Drosophila melanogaster: one gene and its partners. The protein of the gene in region 2 interacts with the protein of the main gene of each other region in a pairwise test. Each region holds a gene or a part of one and is shown on either strand. Other genes may lie near its edges. The genes, in order: CG32987, CG31675, CG15012 and CG10165.

What was found.
Region 1: the proteins of CG31675 (region 2) and CG32987 interact in a two-hybrid assay, tested with the Drosophila melanogaster proteins (one large-scale study listed by BioGRID).
Region 3: the proteins of CG31675 (region 2) and CG15012 interact in a two-hybrid assay, tested with the Drosophila melanogaster proteins (one large-scale study listed by BioGRID).
Region 4: the proteins of CG31675 (region 2) and CG10165 interact in a two-hybrid assay, tested with the Drosophila melanogaster proteins (one large-scale study listed by BioGRID).

The regions. Positions count from the first base shown.
Region 1 is NT_033779.5:8,861,319-8,865,433, forward strand, and holds CG32987 (uncharacterized protein), read left to right. Parts: upstream 1-2,492; 5' UTR 2,493-2,536; coding exon 2,537-3,310; 3' UTR 3,311-3,529; downstream 3,530-4,115. Other genes in the region: CG32986 (uncharacterized protein), read left to right, coding at 1,489-2,361; CG32988 (uncharacterized protein), read left to right, coding at 3,586-4,115.
Region 2 is NT_033779.5:20,865,439-20,870,311, reverse strand, and holds CG31675 (uncharacterized protein), read right to left. Parts: upstream 2,558-4,873; 5' UTR 2,167-2,557; coding exon 2,115-2,166; intron 1,962-2,114; coding exon 1,788-1,961; intron 1,196-1,787; coding exon 975-1,195; 3' UTR 662-974; downstream 1-661. Other genes in the region: CG14401 (uncharacterized protein), read right to left, coding at 1-178; CG9338 (uncharacterized protein), read right to left, coding at 3,168-3,376, 4,727-4,873.
Region 3 is NT_037436.4:4,290,267-4,294,396, forward strand, and holds CG15012 (uncharacterized protein), read right to left. Parts: upstream 1,981-4,130; 5' UTR 1,888-1,980; coding exon 1,804-1,887; intron 1,744-1,803; coding exon 1,609-1,743; intron 1,551-1,608; coding exon 1,421-1,550; intron 1,358-1,420; coding exon 1,248-1,357; 3' UTR 942-1,247; downstream 1-941. Other genes in the region: Hexo1 (hexosaminidase 1), read left to right, coding at 1-784, 847-913; Fdx2 (ferredoxin 2), read left to right, coding at 2,358-2,476, 2,565-2,904.
Region 4 is NT_033779.5:19,526,045-19,532,121, forward strand, and holds CG10165 (uncharacterized protein), read right to left. Parts: upstream 4,262-6,077; 5' UTR 4,225-4,261; exon of another isoform or gene 4,146-4,224; coding exon of another isoform or gene 3,050-4,145; intron 2,953-3,049; exon of another isoform or gene 2,902-2,952; coding exon of another isoform or gene 2,734-2,901; exon of another isoform or gene 2,727-2,733; intron 2,326-2,726; 5' UTR 2,209-2,325; coding exon 2,044-2,208; intron 1,910-2,043; coding exon 1,717-1,909; intron 1,662-1,716; coding exon 1,333-1,661; 3' UTR 866-1,332; downstream 1-865. Other genes in the region: Dpm1 (Dolichyl-phosphate mannosyltransferase subunit 1), read right to left, coding at 1-119, 177-280; CG10137 (uncharacterized protein), read left to right, coding at 728-767, 2,734-2,901, 3,050-4,145, 4,870-4,984, 5,051-6,066.

The DNA of each region.
Region 1 (4,115 bases), about 12 Mb from region 2:
TGACCCACGGATGACGGTGGCCGCTTCCCAGCCCTGTTCCGCGCTGCCCTGCCCCGCCCTGCCTTTTCCTCCTCCAAATCTCCGGGCGGTTCTCGTTCGTTACGCTTCTGTAAGCTTTTTGGCTTGTGCTTTTTGCGGCTCCCGAACATTTTCGTGTTCGCATGCAAAATCCCAAATGAAGTTAGGGCCGGGAAAAGTCGACGGGGGAAATGCCGTTAGTTTGTCCGGGGCTGTCTGAGGTGGGGTTAGGATGGTGATGTGGATTGTAATGGCCTGGTCCACTGCATACGCTCGCATGTCGTTGTTGTCAAGCACTTGCCAACGCTTTCACTTTCCTCCCGACCTCTCGTCGTTGGCCCTTTCATCGTTGTCAGCGTTGTGTGGGTGGAAAATATAAGCCGAAAATGTTATACCATGGTACATTGACCTGCCCTGAAGGGGCCATTGTAGAATAGTAAATAGTCCATATATATGTATGTGGCCCAAGGCCGAAATCTGCAAGAGAAAGATCAATAAACAAGTCGTATGAGTTATTTTAAATTAGTTGCTCTTTTTAGCTTTAAAAATGTTTTATAAATTTGCAGAGAAAATAGAATCTAATCCTAATACTGACATCCGCTACTTGATTTTCAATTTCCGAAAGGTATTCACTTTTTACCAACTCAATAATCCAATCATGAGGAGCAGGCGAGCTAACGACTTGATTGGCAACTCAAGGGTTATACTCCTTCGACTGCAAGCGTATCTATTGCATTGAGCTGCAGCTGCCAGATAACTGACATTCTCCCCGATCGCCTGCTGCCTTGGCATTTGCATGTCTTTAGCGGGGATCAAGGATAAGCGTAGCCAGCTGATTGAGATTGAGTCATAGCCGGAACAATGCCGTCCAACCGTCAACCATCAAGCATCAACCGTCTGTGAAAGTGATTGTGATCGAGGCCGCAGATGCGGCAGTAAACACATCTCGGGATCGCCTTTCTACTCCAGTGTATCCTTGTATCCTTTGCTTTGCGTGTCACTCAAGCGATCAGCAAAACAACAACAAACAATGCAGGCAGGGGAAAGGAGTAAGCATCCTTTGTGGCTGTTTTGTTAGCTTTGATCGGAGCTACTTAGCATTTTCCTTGCAGGCTTTGTAGTCCCCTTGGAATTCCGCATGCCTCGCTGAGTTTTCCGCCCTGATCGAACGGAATAATACTGCTTAGATTTATAAAATGTTAAATATTTATGCATGCCATCGCATTCGGTAAGTCACCGTAATTATCTCTTCCGCGAATCTTAATCTTAGGATAATTGTTATATATATACGGTGTATATAAATATTTCCAGTTCTTAAATCAGATTTACAGGCTATGTATTATTTTGGCTATTAGTAATTTTTAGTAGTATTAGTATTGTTTATGTTTTTAGGGATGTCTTCGTACCCAATCAGGGTGTGCCATAAATATTTTGTCAAAATTTTAAGTGGTTGCCCTCTAAGTGCTCCCAATGTTAGGAGGCAGTTTAAGAAATGACTGGGTCATCTATCCACCAGCCCTCCAGCTTCTCAACTTTCCTTTGCCACAGCAGCAAGAGCAGGCTCCTGGAACTTTGGTTCGATACGAGCATCCTTCGATACACCAGCTTCGCTTAGCACCCCGTAGATTAAGGGCACGACGTTCGGTTGTGGAAGGCGAAGGCTCCAGAGGACTGGACAACGGAAATGGCGACTCGTCGAAAATAATATTTGTGCGGCGCTGCTACATGATGGCTGGATTGTTTTCGACTACAACTGCGATCCTTGCCATAATCCTGTCCAAGGTAATTCCTCCGGAGGCAGATCTTATAATGGCAGGATTCATAAGTGCAATGGTGTCCCTAATGTTTCTCTTTGTCTTCTGTATTTTGACCAAGTTGCGGAGTTTTTATTGGTATAGTTTCATCATGGCCGGGTTGTTTGTAAGTCTGGCAGGTTTGGGCGTTATTCTGCTTCTCCTGGAGCGGAACCTTTCCCGCGTGTGCATTGCCCTTCTGGTGGCCTCCGCCATGACTGTGATATGCTATTTCGCTGGCGCATGGATACCCAAGATCATCCTCCCCGGAGAGAGGACCATGTTCCTCCTGCTCGTCATTTTCGTGATGTCCTCAATCTTTGTGATGACCATGTATATCTTCACAGACAATTGGATCTACCAGTTGGTGTACTTCACGTTATTGGCCACTTTGCTAATACCCGCATCCGTTTACCATGCTCAGGTGGTTCATTCCAGGCGATTCCAGCTGCCCGATTACGAATTCGTTATTTGCGCCGTCAACATCTATCTGCACTTTCTGTTGTTCTTTGCGGCCTTTTACTTTGTCATCTGGGCTCCCAAATGGTGAGAGTTATAGGAGTTAATTTAACGTGTCCGTGTAAAATAAAAAGAAGGCTTTAATGAGAAAAGATACCAATTTGTAAATAAAAGATATAGAAGGTGAGCAGCTTTGCCAGGAGGTAAGTGTCAGGGTGCAGGCCAGACCTAGTCTTAACACTCGGTCCATAAGGATTTTTAACGGGATGGACAACATTTACCACCAGGACAACATCCGGCCGACGATCGAGCAGCTGGACCCAATGACCCAGTTCATCCGCAGCATCTATAACATTGGCCTGATCCTTATCGGAATTACGGTGGGCGCATGGATTCTGCTCATGCTGACCCATATTCACCTGCAGAGGTACCTTCCGTTTCCCTGCTACGTCCTGGCTCTAATAATTTTTCTGGTGATGATATGCATGCATTGTATCCCGAGAATATCCTACTACTCTCCCTGTAAGTGGTTCATGACAGGTCTGGTGGTTGTGTGTACCACCTTGTTTGGCTGCCATTTCATCCACGACTTGAGCCCGCTCATTATCAGTTTCGTGATGATCGGCGTGGCCCTGATCATTATGTTACTCAACTTCTCTGGGGCCATGTGCCCGCAGGAGTTCCTGCCCGGCGGTGTTTGCTCCACGCTGCTGATGATGGCACTGCTGTTGGTCTTGACCATTGTGGGAATCGTCCAGCTCTGCACCGGGAGTGTTGAGCTGCTCGACACCTTCGTCAGCATTCTGTTCCTGATGCTGATCATAGCGATCCCCATTCAGGCGCAGTTCAACCATGGCCGTCTGAACGTCGTGGAAGTGGTTCCCGAAGAGCACCTCATGGTCTGCACCCTGACTTTATACTTGCATTCAATGATGTTCTTCTTCTGCGTGTGCTACTTCATCCTGGTCGACGAGAGAAAGGAGGCCATCAGACAAACATCTGAAGCTCCGAAAATTTCACTCGAAAATGATTTTGATTGAGAGAAATAGCTGTCACTGTGTGATCGAAACTGATTAGCGATCTGGCAAGTTACTATGGTGTTCCAGACCAAAGGATACTGTCATCCAGTCTAATTACTTAGTGCGGTGTAGCCTAGGCGGTACAGAAAATATAAATATATTCTCATTGCAAGGCAATTAGAATAAAGCCAGAGTATTATGAAAAGTCCTAGTCTCAATATAAGAGAAAATGAATCACTTACTTTGCTTTTTTCTTCAAAATTACATTATATTGACCTAAAATAATTGATTAACACATGAATAATCGCAATCGGGGTTGGGGTCGTTATGGCCTTAGAACCGGAAGACCTGGTGGCGAGCCAGTTCCTGCGGAGGGACCGGAGGTCTTAGTCATCAACGAGCGGGAGTTGCGGGCCTTCATCTTCCGGGTGTACCTATCCTCCGTAGTGCTGTGCCTGCTGTCTTCCATTTCGTGGATCATACTGTCGGCACTCGCTGTGAGGGTCTACAAGGCAATTCCAGTGCCGCCGTTCGTTTGGCTGATATTAGCTTTCATCATTCTCTCAGTGCTCGGCTGCATCGCACAGACTCCAGCATTGACCTTGTTATGCTGGGGATTGGTGCTGGGATCCTTGTTCTTTCTCACCCTGTTCGGAGCGTATTATATGCATCTAGTGCGCGTCTGGGTCCTTTTGATTGCCATTTTGGTTGCCGGATCCCTGCTGGCCCTGCTGCATTTGTATGGGGCCAAAAGTCCGGAGGTTCTGCTACCCAACATTATCTGTACTTGCTGCATTTTTCTGCTGCTCACCGTCACCATGATCGT
Region 2 (4,873 bases):
AATTCACTGATTCGCAATAAATCGTGTTGACAGTCTTCTGCTTCTGAGATATTTCAAAATATGAACTACAATTTCGGGGCAGGAATGTGATGAGTGGCGGGCGCGAATCGAGAATCTCACCTGAGCTGGCCAGCGTGACGAGCAGAAAGAGCGAGGCAAGCGCTGCCATCATCGCCATCGTACCGCCCCCGAAAACAGTTGATTCCACTGTCGTCCGGCGGTCGCGGTGAGTCAGTATGGCTATAGCTATAGCTTGGCGATGCCGATACGTGCGCGAATACAGATGTTGTCTTCTCGGTTGCCGGACCGATTTTAATCACATGATAGATGCGCTATATAGCCACAAGCCGCCGACCAACGACCACCGACCACCGACCACCGACCACCGACTCGAAGCGATGCACACACGCGACTGAACTAAACAGAAACTGAACTGAACGTGCGAACAATCGCATTCAGAATGTGAATTTGATTTTCATAACAGATTTTTTCACATTTTCACTTCTCCATCGTTGGCTTTTCCCTGGCCAATGCGTGTTGACATCGTGCTCTGCCTTGCCCTACCCTGCCCTGCCATTCCCTTTGCCCTTTCCTCGCCAATCCATTTATTTCAGGCAAGGTTCATTAGTGGCATTTGAACAAATAAACAATTTGGCATTCTGTGTAAAATTAGTTTTTATTAGTTTGTATTTGGATCGTTCGAAATTTGTTTGCCAGCTTTTCGGCTCATTTCGGTGTGCTGATGTTGCTCATACGCCATGTTCGGCGTTGATTAGCCATTAATACAGTGGGCCGGGCAGATTTGGCTAAACGGTTTTGTGGATGGTGTGCTCTACTAATGTGGGCTTTACTAATTGATAGTCCTGGGCCTTGGGAATACATCTAAATTGAACTAGGTTTACTTAAGCTACTGTGCCTTTTAATGTTCATTTCACGCTCCACATTTCCACATTTCCACTTCGTCTCCTGTCGCCTCAGAGTAGTTGAGTTGCCAAGAGAAACAAGACCAGACTGCCGAAGATTTTCCATTTATCCACTGGATGATTTTCCGATCCGTTGCAGTAGTTCTCGCTGTCGCACACATGACAACTTGAGTTCTGCACCGCCGACAGGGTGGGGTCCATTTTGCACCACACATCGGTGGCATTTACCTCGCCGAAGTAGCAGCCTCTGACGATCTTACGCACGCCGTTTTCTGCAGAGGCAAAACATTGGGTTAGTCTACTTTCGGGCTGACTTATCGTAAATAAACACATTTTTTATTGTCCGTCTTTAATGGGCTTATACGAAATGTGTACGTATTGTCCAAAATATCAAGAGATTGTTGGAAAGTCTACGAGATTCTTCTGAAATAAGGTCACAGCTGTCCGTATATGCACGTATGTCTATGAATGTATGTATGACTGTTTCACATAATTAATTTTATTTGTTTTGATTTGCGTCACAAATCATTAAAGAAATTATTATCTGAAGAGTAAATACAAATCTCGGACGGACAACATTGCGAATGTTTAATGAGTATACAGACATTTACCTTTCGGAACACACTTTTTTTGTCCGCTGCTAATCGGACTGTATTTGTAATTAATGAACAATTACTTTAAAAAAATATCTGGTGGATAGATACATTTTTGGTGAATTACGATATATCCACTTTTTAATCTTATATTTCAAACTTTCTTTTCTTTTTACTATACCTATTGATTCATAACTATTAAAGTTACTATCCTAGCAAGGCTTCAAATCCGTAGGAACGTGTTTTGAGAAACATATTCGTTTAAACTCACCCTTGAATACCCGTTTCAAACAGGCCGTGGCATTCACGCTGAGCAGATCGTTCTCCAGGAATCGCGGAGGAGCAATGAAGGCGCAGTCGTATTTAAAATGGTTCTCGACTTCGAAGTCGTCGCCGCAACTAGCCTCGTAGACGGATTCGCAGGCATAGCACTTGATGGCGTAAGCTAGTGGCATTGGGATGGGAAGACCAGAGACGCGTCTTATTTATGGCAGAAATGAGATCAGGCGGGGACAGCCGACAGGTCGCGGCAAACGCAGAACTCGCAAAGCAAAGTACAAATTCGAAAGAAACAAGTCCAAACAGAACAAAAACAAACCTGAGGCCAGTAGCGAGATGAGCGCGCCAAACAAAAGTAAATAATGCTGCATTGTTGATGGGAGGAAAATCGGTTTGCCACCTTTCTCGCTGGTGATTGGAATTTGTTGTATTTGATGGTTTTATGGAAAATAATTCAAGTGGCGGGCTTATTTATAGCTCTGCTCGGCGCAATTGAAACGATCCGCACGAGGTTTGAACATACAAAACTGTATGTTTTGTATAAGCAAATATAGTATATATTTTGAATATAAATAAATGTGTGTTTTCAACTATATAAATGACTTTTATTTTATATTTATTTGGGTCTCAGCACGTAGGAAATAAAAATGTAAACACGCGTTGCCAATTTTCCCTCAGTTTTGTTTTTTGATTTTCCCCGATTTCCCGGCTAAATTCTTGGAGCCGTCTGTCAGTCGACGTCCGCACACGAAATCGAACTAAAAGAATGCCAAAAGCATTTTCCAAATTCAACTCCTTGCCGTTTTTCTCTTTTCCGTTTATCGCTCTCTTTTTTCTGTGGTGAAAACATTTTATGGCCATTTCGCCTGGCGTCATCGCTCAGCGTTTTAATTTGTCTAAATTTAATGAACATTTAGCGGGTGGAGACTTGACGCGCCGAACTTATAGCGACCCTGTGGGAAATGGAAATGGAAAAGGAAAACTGGGAGTGTATGGTCGAAGCGAGTAAAATCACAGAGAGAACTTTTCCGCTTTTCCGTCTGTTCGTATAATCGTCAGCCCAGCATATAGAGAGCCCTGCAGAAGAGACGTAGATTGGATGGGGCCAGTTCTTGAAGTGTGCCAGACACGCATGGATTTTCTGCTTGCCCAACTGGAAGGCTATCAGTTAAAGCTAGCAATTAATCTACGAATAACCATAAAATATCTTCACATAAATAAAGCGACATTTAATGTGGGCGAAAACAGTTTAAAAGGGTGTAACAATTACAAGAGATTCAAAGGTGACTAAAGCAGCTCCATGGGTCTGGCTTCCCAACAGCAAGTTCGATATGTTTGGGATAGCTCAGCGGTACTACAAACTGCTCCTCGTTCAGGCTAGCAGACGGGCCAGGCCAAAGAACAGGAGTATGACTCCGGCGATGGGGGCCAGGGAGGAGGTTCCGTTGCACTCGTCCTCGGTGCAAACCTCGCAGCTCAGCAACTTGTTGATCGTCAGGCTGGGATCGGTCTGGCATCCAACCTTCGTGTCGGCGATGTTGCCAAAGTAGCAGGACCTCACGATTTGCGGGTTACCGGGAACTGCAAGTAAACATTTTAGAAGTTGGTACAAATTATTTGGTTAAGTGTAAATGGAAATGCTTTGTCGGTTGTTATTCTTTTTGATATATTATAAATTCAAATCATATATTCGGCAATTAGATTCAGAAATTACGACATTAAAGCGTGCTGTGTGTTCTAATGTGTTCGGAGATAAATGTATAGAGAAATATTCAAAAATTCTCATTTTTAGACTTTCTCTGATACTCAATTCTATTTGTATGCAGCTTTTTCAAACTATAAAGTATATTCTGACTTTAAGTGTGTTTCCTTTAAATAAATAATATTTTTTTGGTCAGACTATTCAGGTTTTTACATTCGGACAATGATATTTAAATCCAAAAATTACAAATTGTAATCATTAAAATAAATCCATAATTATTATTAATTCCCTATGTATATCTCACAAAAGGTAGAACACATTTAAAGTTCTAATATAGATGTGACGAACTTTTGAGCTGAATGGGATGCCAATTGTCTGGTGTTTAATTAAAACTGACGATGATGTATTCAATAAAACGCAAGACGTGGTCGAATGTTAATGTAATTAGCAAACAATTGACTGAGGCGATGTTGCGGTCACCGAACATAAATAATTCCGTAGCAAAAGTGAATGGGGTCCAATTATTCTCAATACCATATAGCCCTAGGGAGTATTTATGCTTGGGAATCGCTGGACAATCAAGTAAATTGTGAACAAATCACTTAAAAAGGTACTGCTGCGTTTATGTCCATTGTCATGATGCATTTTTAATGAAGGGCACATATTGCTGTGGGACAGCGACTAATCTCCGTTGTGAGATTAACGCACTTGCCTGTGAGCAAACGCACTTTATCATTATAGTATAATAAATGAGGAAGTACATATATACAATAGATATTGTTTTTATACATGTAAGATAGTCAGTACAGTCTACCTTATCTGAACCTTCTTCTCATATTTATGAGTATGCCCCATTCATCATATGTGGTTCCTTCCATGGTCTACACACGATATGCATATATATATTTAATTCCAATAGCAAGTCGCTGATCTTGAACAGTTCTAAATATATTTCGATGCTAAACGCCTAGATTCTCTCATTCTCTTTCATTAAGAAGTGTCAGAGGTATATTCTATTAATTAATTTGTTTTGAACAAATATTTCTTGTTATTTCGTTGCTTTAGAATCAATCATATTTTCAGGTAAGAGTGAAAACTCAATTATTCTCATTGTGAGCACTAAGACCCAGTTAATTTATCAACCTAAATTGCTTAAATGGGGATGGTTTCGCGTGGGCAATCGATACGATGAGATCATGGCTATGGCCGATCCCCACCAGATTACTTACTGTCGATGGTCTGCTTCATGCAACCGGTGGCGTTGCGAACCGGGAAGAAGTTCTGGAGGAATCGAGGTGGAGCCATCTTGGTGCAATCCAAAACGAGGCTACTGTCTGACTTGATGTCCTTTCCACACTCGGAATTAGTCAAGGAAT
Region 3 (4,130 bases), on a different chromosome or scaffold from region 2:
ATCCCACTGTGAACGAAATGTACGATGTGCTGGAGGACATTTACGGCACCATGTTCGATCAGTTCAACCCGGATATCTTCCACATGGGCGGCGATGAAGTGTCAACCAGCTGCTGGAACAGCAGCCAGCCCATCCAGCAGTGGATGAAGAAACAGGGTTGGGGCCTGGAGACCGCCGACTTTATGCGCTTGTGGGGACACTTCCAGACGGAGGCTCTTGGTCGCGTGGACAAGGTGGCCAATGGTACGCACACGCCCATCATTCTGTGGACTAGTGGACTCACTGAGGAGCCCTTCATTGACGAGTATCTGAACCCAGAGCGTTACATCATTCAGATCTGGACCACTGGTGTAGATCCGAAGGTAAAGAAGATTCTGGAGCGGGGCTACAAGATCATTGTGTCCAACTACGATGCCCTGTACTTGGATTGCGGCGGAGCTGGCTGGGTGACCGATGGAAACAACTGGTGCTCCCCCTACATTGGCTGGCAGAAGGTGTACGACAATAGTTTGAAATCCATTGCCGGCGACTACGAGCATCATGTATTGGGCGCGGAGGGAGCCATTTGGTCAGAGCAGATCGACGAGCACACACTGGACAACCGCTTCTGGCCCAGGGCCAGTGCCCTGGCCGAACGACTTTGGTCAAATCCTGCCGAAGGTTGGCGCCAGGCGGAGTCACGTCTGCTGCTCCACCGCCAGCGACTGGTGGACAATGGTCTGGGCGCAGAGGCCATGCAGCCGCAGTGGTGCCTGCAAAACGAGCACGAGTGTCCCATTGACGCGTACGATGCACAAGTTTGACCAGCTATTAAACCATTTCTCTTAACGGTCGCTATCCTTGTAGATGTAGTCGGGGCAGCGGGCGGCTTGGGTTGATCGTCCTGTTGCTTCTCACAACGCTCTCTGCCTGAAAATAAAGTACAGCTCAAAGGTGGCCTTACGCAAGTGACTTGTCGTTTATTTTGTTAAATATAAATGAGATTATTGGCCCTGCTCTGCGCCCTTTTCCGATTCAAAGCGGCAGAATGTCGGAAATAGTGAGGGAAATCCGTACAGACTCGACGATTTTTTCGAATATGAACAGTAGCAGAGTTGGACATTTTACGCTTCAATGTGTGGGGTGAGGATTTGCGAGTGATGGTGTCCTCGGCCTCAAGCATAAACTCCTTGGACTCCTGATTATGTACGTAATGAGTCTAGATACTAAAAGCTGCGTTCCCTTGTGCAATAATTTGAATGGAAGCTTTACTCATTCCACTCTTCCTCGTTGCGTCCAAACTTGTAGACCAAACTGGCGAACAGGATGAAGACGTTTTGCATCAGCAGAGCCACGCCAAACCAGCCATCCTTCTTTTCTGAAAAACGATAAGTGGGTGCAATTCAGCTAAGGAATCCTTAAATATCTGTTTATTTCTCACCATTGTTGATGAAGTCGTCGATCATCACCCAGATGGCGGCAATGATGGAGGCAAAACCCATTAGGAAGCCCACAAGCAGCCAGATCTTCGCTATCCTGGCGCCGGACTCCGATGAGTTCTCATCAGAAATCTGCGCACAAACAAAAGAAGTGAGTCACTTGTTAAGCCCAATGATAAGTGTGTGTTACATGTTCTCCCTTCACTGCGTTCACCATGCAGAAGCTGATGGTCCCGAAGATGCCGATGAAGACGTGTCCTGTGGTAATCTGGTGCTTGCCGTCGATGGACATGGCATCGATTAGAACCCACCATCCTGCGAAAAACTAAGGAGAAAAAGTTGCACTGTCAGGCGGGCGGCTCTTTGTTTGCGGGTGTTAGCCTACCAGAAGTCCGGCTATTATGGAGGTGTTCCTGTTCCTGGACGCATCCCCCGTGAAATGCAACGCAATATTGTCCAACACGCCCATTGTTTAGGTTTTAAAACGTAATTAAATTTATTCCACTCTTAAATCTTCTTGTTTTGACGCACAGGGTTGTCTGTCTGCAGGTGAATACAGGGTTTCTTCACTCGCTGTAGCAACCCTGTTTCAGTATTTAGTGTGTTCACACCTGAACTGCAGCAGTAACATATACTTTTTGTGTAACACAAATTAACTCCGTTATAAAAAGAAAGTTGCTGTTAATTAAATATTTTGTGCAATAATTTGTGCAAACATTTAAATGTTTAACTTTAAAATTACTGCTTATGCAGTTTGTTGTTGTTTTTTAGTACGTTAAAGGCACGACGTCTTTTTCAGAAAGTCCAATACGGTCACACACAACTTCACGTTTAACAAAATTTAATTGATTTCCTTATTATTTAACAACCGATCGCAGCGACACGAGTGGGTGCGTGTTGTCAGTTATAGTAAGAGATTGCAAAGGAATCCTAACCAGAATGCTAGTCATAAACTCATGCAGAGCTGCCTCCAGATTGGCGCTACGCAGCCTCAATTTGCGATCGCCGATCGCAACGCGTACTTTCTCGACGGGATTGGCCCTGAAAACGAAAGATGTGTGAGTATCTTCTCCACCCCACGAGCACTACAATGGTAGCTCCACACCGCCAGAGCAGCGTAAACATTGACCAATCTCGCTATTGCAGTGTTAACATAACCTTCGTGCGTGCCAATGGGGACAAGATTAAGACGTCCGGAAAAGTGGGTGACTCCCTGCTGGACGTGGTGGTCAACAACAATGTGGATCTGGATGGTTTCGGGGCCTGTGAGGGCACGCTGACCTGCTCCACCTGCCACCTGATCTTCAAGACCAGCGATTTCGAGAAACTGCCCGACAAACCCGGTGATGAGGAGCTGGACATGCTGGATTTGGCGTACGAACTGACGGACACCTCGCGGCTGGGCTGCCAGATCACCCTGTCCAAGGATATGGAGGGCCTGGAGGTACATGTGCCCTCCACCATCAATGACGCACGTGCCGCGTAGATAGACACCACCACTGTTATCAATTGTTACAAATTTGAGTGCTAATTCGCTTTAGTTCAACCTAGATGTAGTCAATATTTTTGAACGAAATCGTATGTATTGTCCCAGGGACACAAACCTCAGGCGGCTATAATGGATGCGCGCATTAATCCGATTCCAGTTGCGGATTAGCGTCCGCTGTTGTTTTTAAAGTGTTTAAGCTCAAAGGGATTAGATCAATATGTAAATAAGTGTGTTGCAATAAATTTACATGTATTTTCGTACTTCTCTTGGTTTTATTGAAACTGTGGAGGAAAGCATCCAGCGTAGATATCATTTTTAACCAATAATTCATTTGCCTTTTTAATTCTATTGGCAAAACTAGCCGATTTTAAATCGGTCATTCTTGTTTTTTAAATATCTCAGCTAAAAAGTGTTTTTCTGCGTGTATTCATGATCTCGAAGTTGTGCTCGGCAAATAAACAGGCACACGCAAAGATTTTCCTCGGCATCATAGTTCTAATAAAAGTGTGTAGTATACTTTTGAACACAGGTTTATGATCATTAGTTAGCAAATTCAAGATGATCGTATTTTATATTCCTATTTGCCTCGCTTGTATGACAATGCGAACCATATTATTCTTTATTCTATTCATTCGTTTTGCCAAACTTGTTTTGTTTATACCAAAACTTCCAGTCACGGCCAACACAAGGGCTGTTATCAAAGCCCCCCACACAAACATTTCATCACACTGATAAAGTTTGCATTAGCTTTGTTTGCGTTTCCTTATCAGTCGTTCCCAAGCTCCGATAATCAGAGGTACTATTAGAACGCATTAAAACACTTGTCGCTTAATAAAAGTAAACTTTTTATTATTTCGCAGCTATCAAATAAAGTAATAAATAAATAATTTAATATATACATTTGCTATATTAACTTATTGTAAACGATTTTCTGCCTTTCCATGTTTGCCGCTTCATTACTTCGTTTGTGTTTATTTTCTCGATATTATTAACTTGCATATTGTAACATTCGAGGCTAATCTGTTCGTTCAGATGGCCTCAAATCCCGCGTAGGTATAACTGAAACTTAACAAGTCTGACAATTCAATTTCGCTTTGCCTAAAACTAGGGAAACATATGAAGGATAGAGCGTAGTGGTAAAGTAGGAAACCATTTGAAAGTGGCGGATTGTGGGATCTCAATAAATAACCAAAGAATAAATAGTTATGGGATGGGGGGTGCCT
Region 4 (6,077 bases), 1.3 Mb from region 2:
AGCCACGTGGTCTCAGCACAATCTTGTCCTCCCCGTAGATCTTCTGCAGGTCTTTGGCCACGTCTAGTGTTCCATCCGGACTACCATCATCAATCACAATCACCTCGTATTCCAAGCCGCTGCAAAGGGGGAGCAATTAATACCTGAATTTGCACCTTAGAGCAGCCGCTACTCACCTCGCCTTCATGTATTTCACAATTAGCCATATTATAATGGGCAAATTATCCTTTTCATTGTAAGTGGGCATCAAAATGCTGTATTTATGGCCATTTGTTGGCATTGTAATTGTTCTCAAGAACCGTGTAAATAATTTCAATTAAAACTACAAGAGTGTTGGTCAATTCAATAATACAAAACAGCTGGCTCGAATCGATAGCGAAGTCGATAGTGGCTAGATAGTTAGATAGTGGCTAAAACGTATCGAATTCCAAATGTAAATTTAAATGTGTTAAATAAATGATATTAAAATATCTAATTTGACAAAATATTGACTTTAATATAAAGCTGAACAAATAACATTCTATGTAGATGATGTATGTTTTTGGTATATTCGCCCAGCCGAATAAAGTTTTATAGTATACTTTCCAGAGCACAAGGGTAAAAATCATAAAAAATTGTGCGGTCACACAGTTCGCGAACGGCCGCTTTAAGAATAAGTGCTCACTTTATGTGCGGATTAGCGAATAAAAGTGGCAAAGTAGTGCGCTTTTGACGGCGCGACGTCAACATGGCTAAGAAAATACCTTTTAACGTGGTGTTCGCCTCAGGTAAACAAAACTTCGGATATATTATGAACTGAAAGCTGCAGAAAGATTTTTATTATTTATAGTTTTCTTATTTGTTTGCTTTATTTTGTGTGTTTTTTATGTTCTTAATTGCATTTTTAGTTGCGACAGGATTTGGCTGAGAGCTAAACGTCTTCCACCTCCCTTTCTTCCTTTAAAATTCGCTGCACTTGAGAAATCGATAAATCACGCATACGCCTAGTGCGCCAGGACGTTGGAATTTAAAATAGACTGGCGCTGCCTTTTTAATTGCAGCTAATCAGCTGGCAATAGTCCGATTTAAATATGGCCAGGATGCTAAATCAATTTTCCAAAGTCTCGGCCAATTTACCACGTCCTAAAACCACTGCAACCACGATGACTGTAATATTTCATTATAATATTGTCAGACTGCCGGGTTGTCGACTCTTTTTGTGTCTGCATGTGCAATTTGAGTTGCGGCCAGAGATTTAAATTTGGCCAAACGCCAAGCTCTTTATTTTCATGCTAGGACCTGACAAATTTTGGTTAGCCTCGATGGCCTCAGCCTCATCCTCCCCAGTATCACCTACTGGGCCTGCTCCGCCTTCTTTTTGGACCGATACTTAAGTTTAGTTAGAAGCGATGACACCGGCGCGATAATGGTGAGTCCATAAACAATGCCGGTAATCAGCATCATGCCGGGAATAAAGTCAGTATCCACATACTTGGTAAAGAATTTCGAATAGTAGCCCAGGTAAATGGCGCCCATTCCCAGACTAAAGGTGACCAATCCAAATAGATTATGGCGGAAGCGAAGCTCTGATGGAGGCATTACTTTCAGGGCGAACTTGGGCTGGAAATAGTTGACAAAACCGCCTACAATGCTGGCCGCGCAGAAAAAGGAAGCAGCTCCCCCTGCAAAATGTCAGCTTTAATCGGTTTTCCTGAATTAACCTAATTATTTACTCACCCACTCGGCCGTGCCAGGTGTTAAAGTGCACCTCCTTGCTGGAAAATTTACCCAGGGAGCCCAACAGCACCATGGAGCCACCCACAATCTGCAGGATGGCGTGGAAGCGCGACTTGTTTCGGTGCGACAGCCAACGGGTGAGCGGGTTCACTTTCGAATGCGACATCATGGCCTGGGCGATAAGGACGTGGAACTGTCGAGAGCAAGAAAAGCCTTTTAATTCAGCTCCAGTTCGATAAGATAACAAGTGACGTTGCATGTCCGTGTTATCCAGGTCGATCTAACACTATTGATTTTGTGGCCAAGTGCTTATCGCCGTGTACTCACTCCAGTCCCGGTCATAAACATATGCATGGCGGTATCCTTGAACTCCAGACTGCGCGCCAGTATGAAAAAGAAGACGGCCACCAGAAAGATCAGAATGTGGTTGATGCTATTCAGCAGGCTGTGGATTTGCAGCCAGGCAGTGGCTTTCGTGTAACCCTCCGCCATTTCAAAAGATTCAATAATACTATCTGATTCAGTAACAAAACACGAACGGCTGAGCGACGACTAAACTAGCATGTTAACATCGACATCGCTTAAATATAGAAGAGAAGAGCGTGGAACCTGAGGATAGAGAACAACAAGTTAGATTCGTTTGTACTCGTACAGCTGCGTTCGAATAAATAGTGATAGTTGAGAATTCTTAAAGTAACTCAAATGTTTTTGTTTATGCTTTCCATTTTATACGTTTCATCGCATATATAACTGATAACCTGTTTCTGAATATTTAATAGATTTTAAGGCTTATTATTTTGGGCACGCTTGAATGCTAGCTTTCGTTTTGACCGCTGCTGTTAGCTTAGCAACCGAAAGAGAACGAAACATAGTCCGATATCGTTATCATGTGCAACTATTTAGCTGAGTGTGCGAAAAAGAGACTTATTAAGAGAGTCATAATGGCCTGCGCCACCTATACATAGGTTATAACGTCATGAAAGTAATGATGATTGGATCGTTTCGCTTGCCTTTCAGACGAGGATGTTAACTTTCCGGCTAGCGAGTTAAACAATCACGGCCCCACAGTTCACGGATGGCGAAGTGCTCCGAACGGCAGCCTCACCTCACATGACATCATCCTCCGATTCCAGCAGCCGGCCAAGATCTATCGCATCCAGCTCCTGGCACACCAGTATCTTATACGTAAGTTAATGTGCTAAGTTAATTGGAATTGGCTACAAGCCTAATAAGTACCTAGAAATAATCAATGCCTGATCTTTAGTATGATCAAAGATGAACATATAAACAAACAGCTTGAGTATTCCCTATAATGTGTTGTTTTTTCGTTTAGCTGAGAAAGTAGAACTCTGGCTGCACTACTCGCCCAAATCCCTGCCCAGCACTCCATCCTCGCAGTACTTTGACTTTTTGGGTTTTGTTGCCCTGGCGGATAATGCCAACACGAACTACAAGTCTCGGGAGCTGCAGAGCGTAACCGTGTGTCCACGTAGGGGCACACATCTTAAGCTGCGTCTGATTGGCGTCCAAGGAAACGACTACAATGACACAGGCCAGATTTCCCTACTAGCGGTAAATGTCCTGGGCGAGGATCTGGAAGTGGGGCCAAATAATGGCAACGGAGAGGAGCACTTGGCCAACGAGGCCCCACCGTTGGACACGGCCACCGGAGAACTGGCCCTGGCCTCCGTCTGTGATGACCTGCTTTTCTCCATGTATGTGGAGGAGTCAATAGTGCAGACCATCCGAGAGTTGGAACAGCGAAAGATTTTGGCCGTTAACTCAGAAAGATTCGAGTACGCCCGCAAACTGAAGCTATGCATGACAGCTTTAAGGACTGCCGGAGAACGTTTGGGGCGCTATGCTCTGGCCAAGAGGCAGGCTGTTCAGCAGGAGGACTTTACCACGGCCAGGCTACGCAAGGAGCAGATCGAGATGTACCGGGCGGCAGTACTTCGACAATTGCAGGTGCATCAGCTTCTGGAACCGCAGGGTGTGACCTTAAGCTCCAATGACCAAAGCTGCGAGATCTATGCGGGTGGGAAGCCCAGTCTGCCATCGGCTCCTAGCCTGCAGGATGTGGCACAGGCACTTGCGGAAGCCACCTTCAGTCCCAAGAGCATGACGAGTCTCAGCTTAGAGGACAAATCCTCGACCGATGGCTCCCAGCCTGGTAACGACAATACGTTGACAGCTCCGGCACCTGCTCCAGCACCCGCTCCTGCGCCCACCTCTTTGCAGGCCACGCCCACTCCCACGCTGGGGGGCTGGCGCAAGTCCCACGACGAGCTGCCGCAGTCGCCACGTCTGCCTTCAAGGCACAGCTCACCAATGTCCAGCCGACAGGGATCGCTGCGCAGGCGCAACAAGAGCGTTCCACGAAACTCCTACGAAGACTACGAGGAGCGGGCCATTCCCACGCTGCGACAGTGAGTAGCGGGCGTAGAGAGTCGTAATCGTTGTCTGGGTGTCTAGTGAATACGTAAACAATTGTGGAATAGTAATTACTTCGTTTGTTTACTGGAAACAGCTGTCTATTACAGTGTTGCATGATAACCGGTACTCTTAGTTTGAATGTTTGTCAACACTAGCGACCGTTAGAAACAACACCCGTTACTTTTTTTAATTTAAGATTTAACGCTCGCCCAGAATTTCAAAGAACGAAAGAGAATCTATTAGCTTAATTTTAAGTAAAGCCGTTTTATCTGCTCTAAACACATGAAAAGGATTTATCTTTTTAAAGCAAAAGCAAAAATTCTTTATATATTGAAATTAGGTATTTTTGAGATACTTTTAAATGTTAGGCTTTTTGACAGAAATTTTGCTTTTAGATATTTTAAAAAGTATTTAAAATTTGCTTTTAGAGAAAAGTATTTATGTTTTTATTAACAACTTAGAAACTTTTATAAAAGATTAAAAATAGTTTGAACGGTTTCATAGTTAATTTCATATAATGAAATTTCGAAACTATACACAAAACTTTAAATTAGGCGTTATTTGAACGCATTTGAAAGTAACATGTTGTTAGATTTACCTTTAATCGTACTTACCTTTCTACTCCTATATGTATATTGTAACCGCATCCGTAAACGTTGCCATTCCGATACAACAAACACAAACCGCTCACAGTTCAAATACTAATGAATTTTTAAGGGAGTGCCAAGGCAACGCGCTACTGGAAGCGGATCCGAACCGTGGGCGTTCGCGCCTGAACGACCGCGAGCGTCGCCAGGCAGCGCTTCCCATCCTGGTCTTCGGCAATGAGCTGGTGAGTCCCCCATTAAATCCAATAGATAACATATTCAATACGTGCCCTACATATGTATATTCCCAGGTGGAGCAGTTCTATTCGCGTCAGTTTCAGGACCGCGAGGATGGCTTGATGCGTCTGCGTAACTTCCTAAAGGAGCACGACCTGTTAGAGGCGTCGAGCAACGAGCACGCTGCCAGTCCCAACAAAGTGGCCCGCAGCGCCGCCCTTCTGCTGCATCGCGCTGTAAGAGATGCCGTTTACTCCGTGTTTAGCCAAGCTACTGAGACGGTACGCATGCTGTTCCTAGAGTATGTGCCCGGTCGAGTTTCCCCCAACGAGGTGGCACGTTGCGTGGACCGCCTGCTGCCCGAATTGCTGGCCAAGTCCGGCGATCCATCTGCTCGATTGCACACTCTGGCCCAGCACACGATCCTAAGCATCGCCGCCTGTCCGGAGGTGGCGGAGCAGCACCTGGTTGCGCCAGCACTATCACGAAGCGTTGGATCCGGAACCCACCAGCGACTGGCAATGAGTCGGCTGCAGATGCTGGAGCAGCTGGTCAACACTCAGGGCATTAGCACGGACAAGCATAGTGGACTCACCTGCAGGGCATTGTCCGAGTGCGGCTGCTCCGGCATCCATCATCCAGCGGAGCCTGTGCGAAAGGTGGCCGAGCGCATCCTGCTGCTCGTCTACAAGGTGAATCCCCGACTGGTGCGCAAGCAGTTACCTCCGGATGACGACATCACGCGTCGCAATCTCTTGTACCGCCAACTCTTCACCGAATTTGACAAGTTGGATCTGGACCGCAAGCAGGAGCTGCTGGAGGCTAGCAAGTATGGCGGGGGTCACAGCTCGGGCGATGCGGCAACACCGCCGGCGGATAAGGCGTCCACCAGCTCAGATGCCTCTCGACTGATGAATAGCCGCAGTGGTCATAACCTAGGCCCAATGGCCAGCTCCAGTAATGGATATGCCAGCTGCAATGGAAAGCAGCAGTACAACGAGCAGCTCAAGCGCTCCATGCTATCCGTGAGCAACTCGCGCAAGGGATCCGCTTCCAACTCGGAGTCCACTGAAGACAACACACCCAAAATGTGTGTAGTAA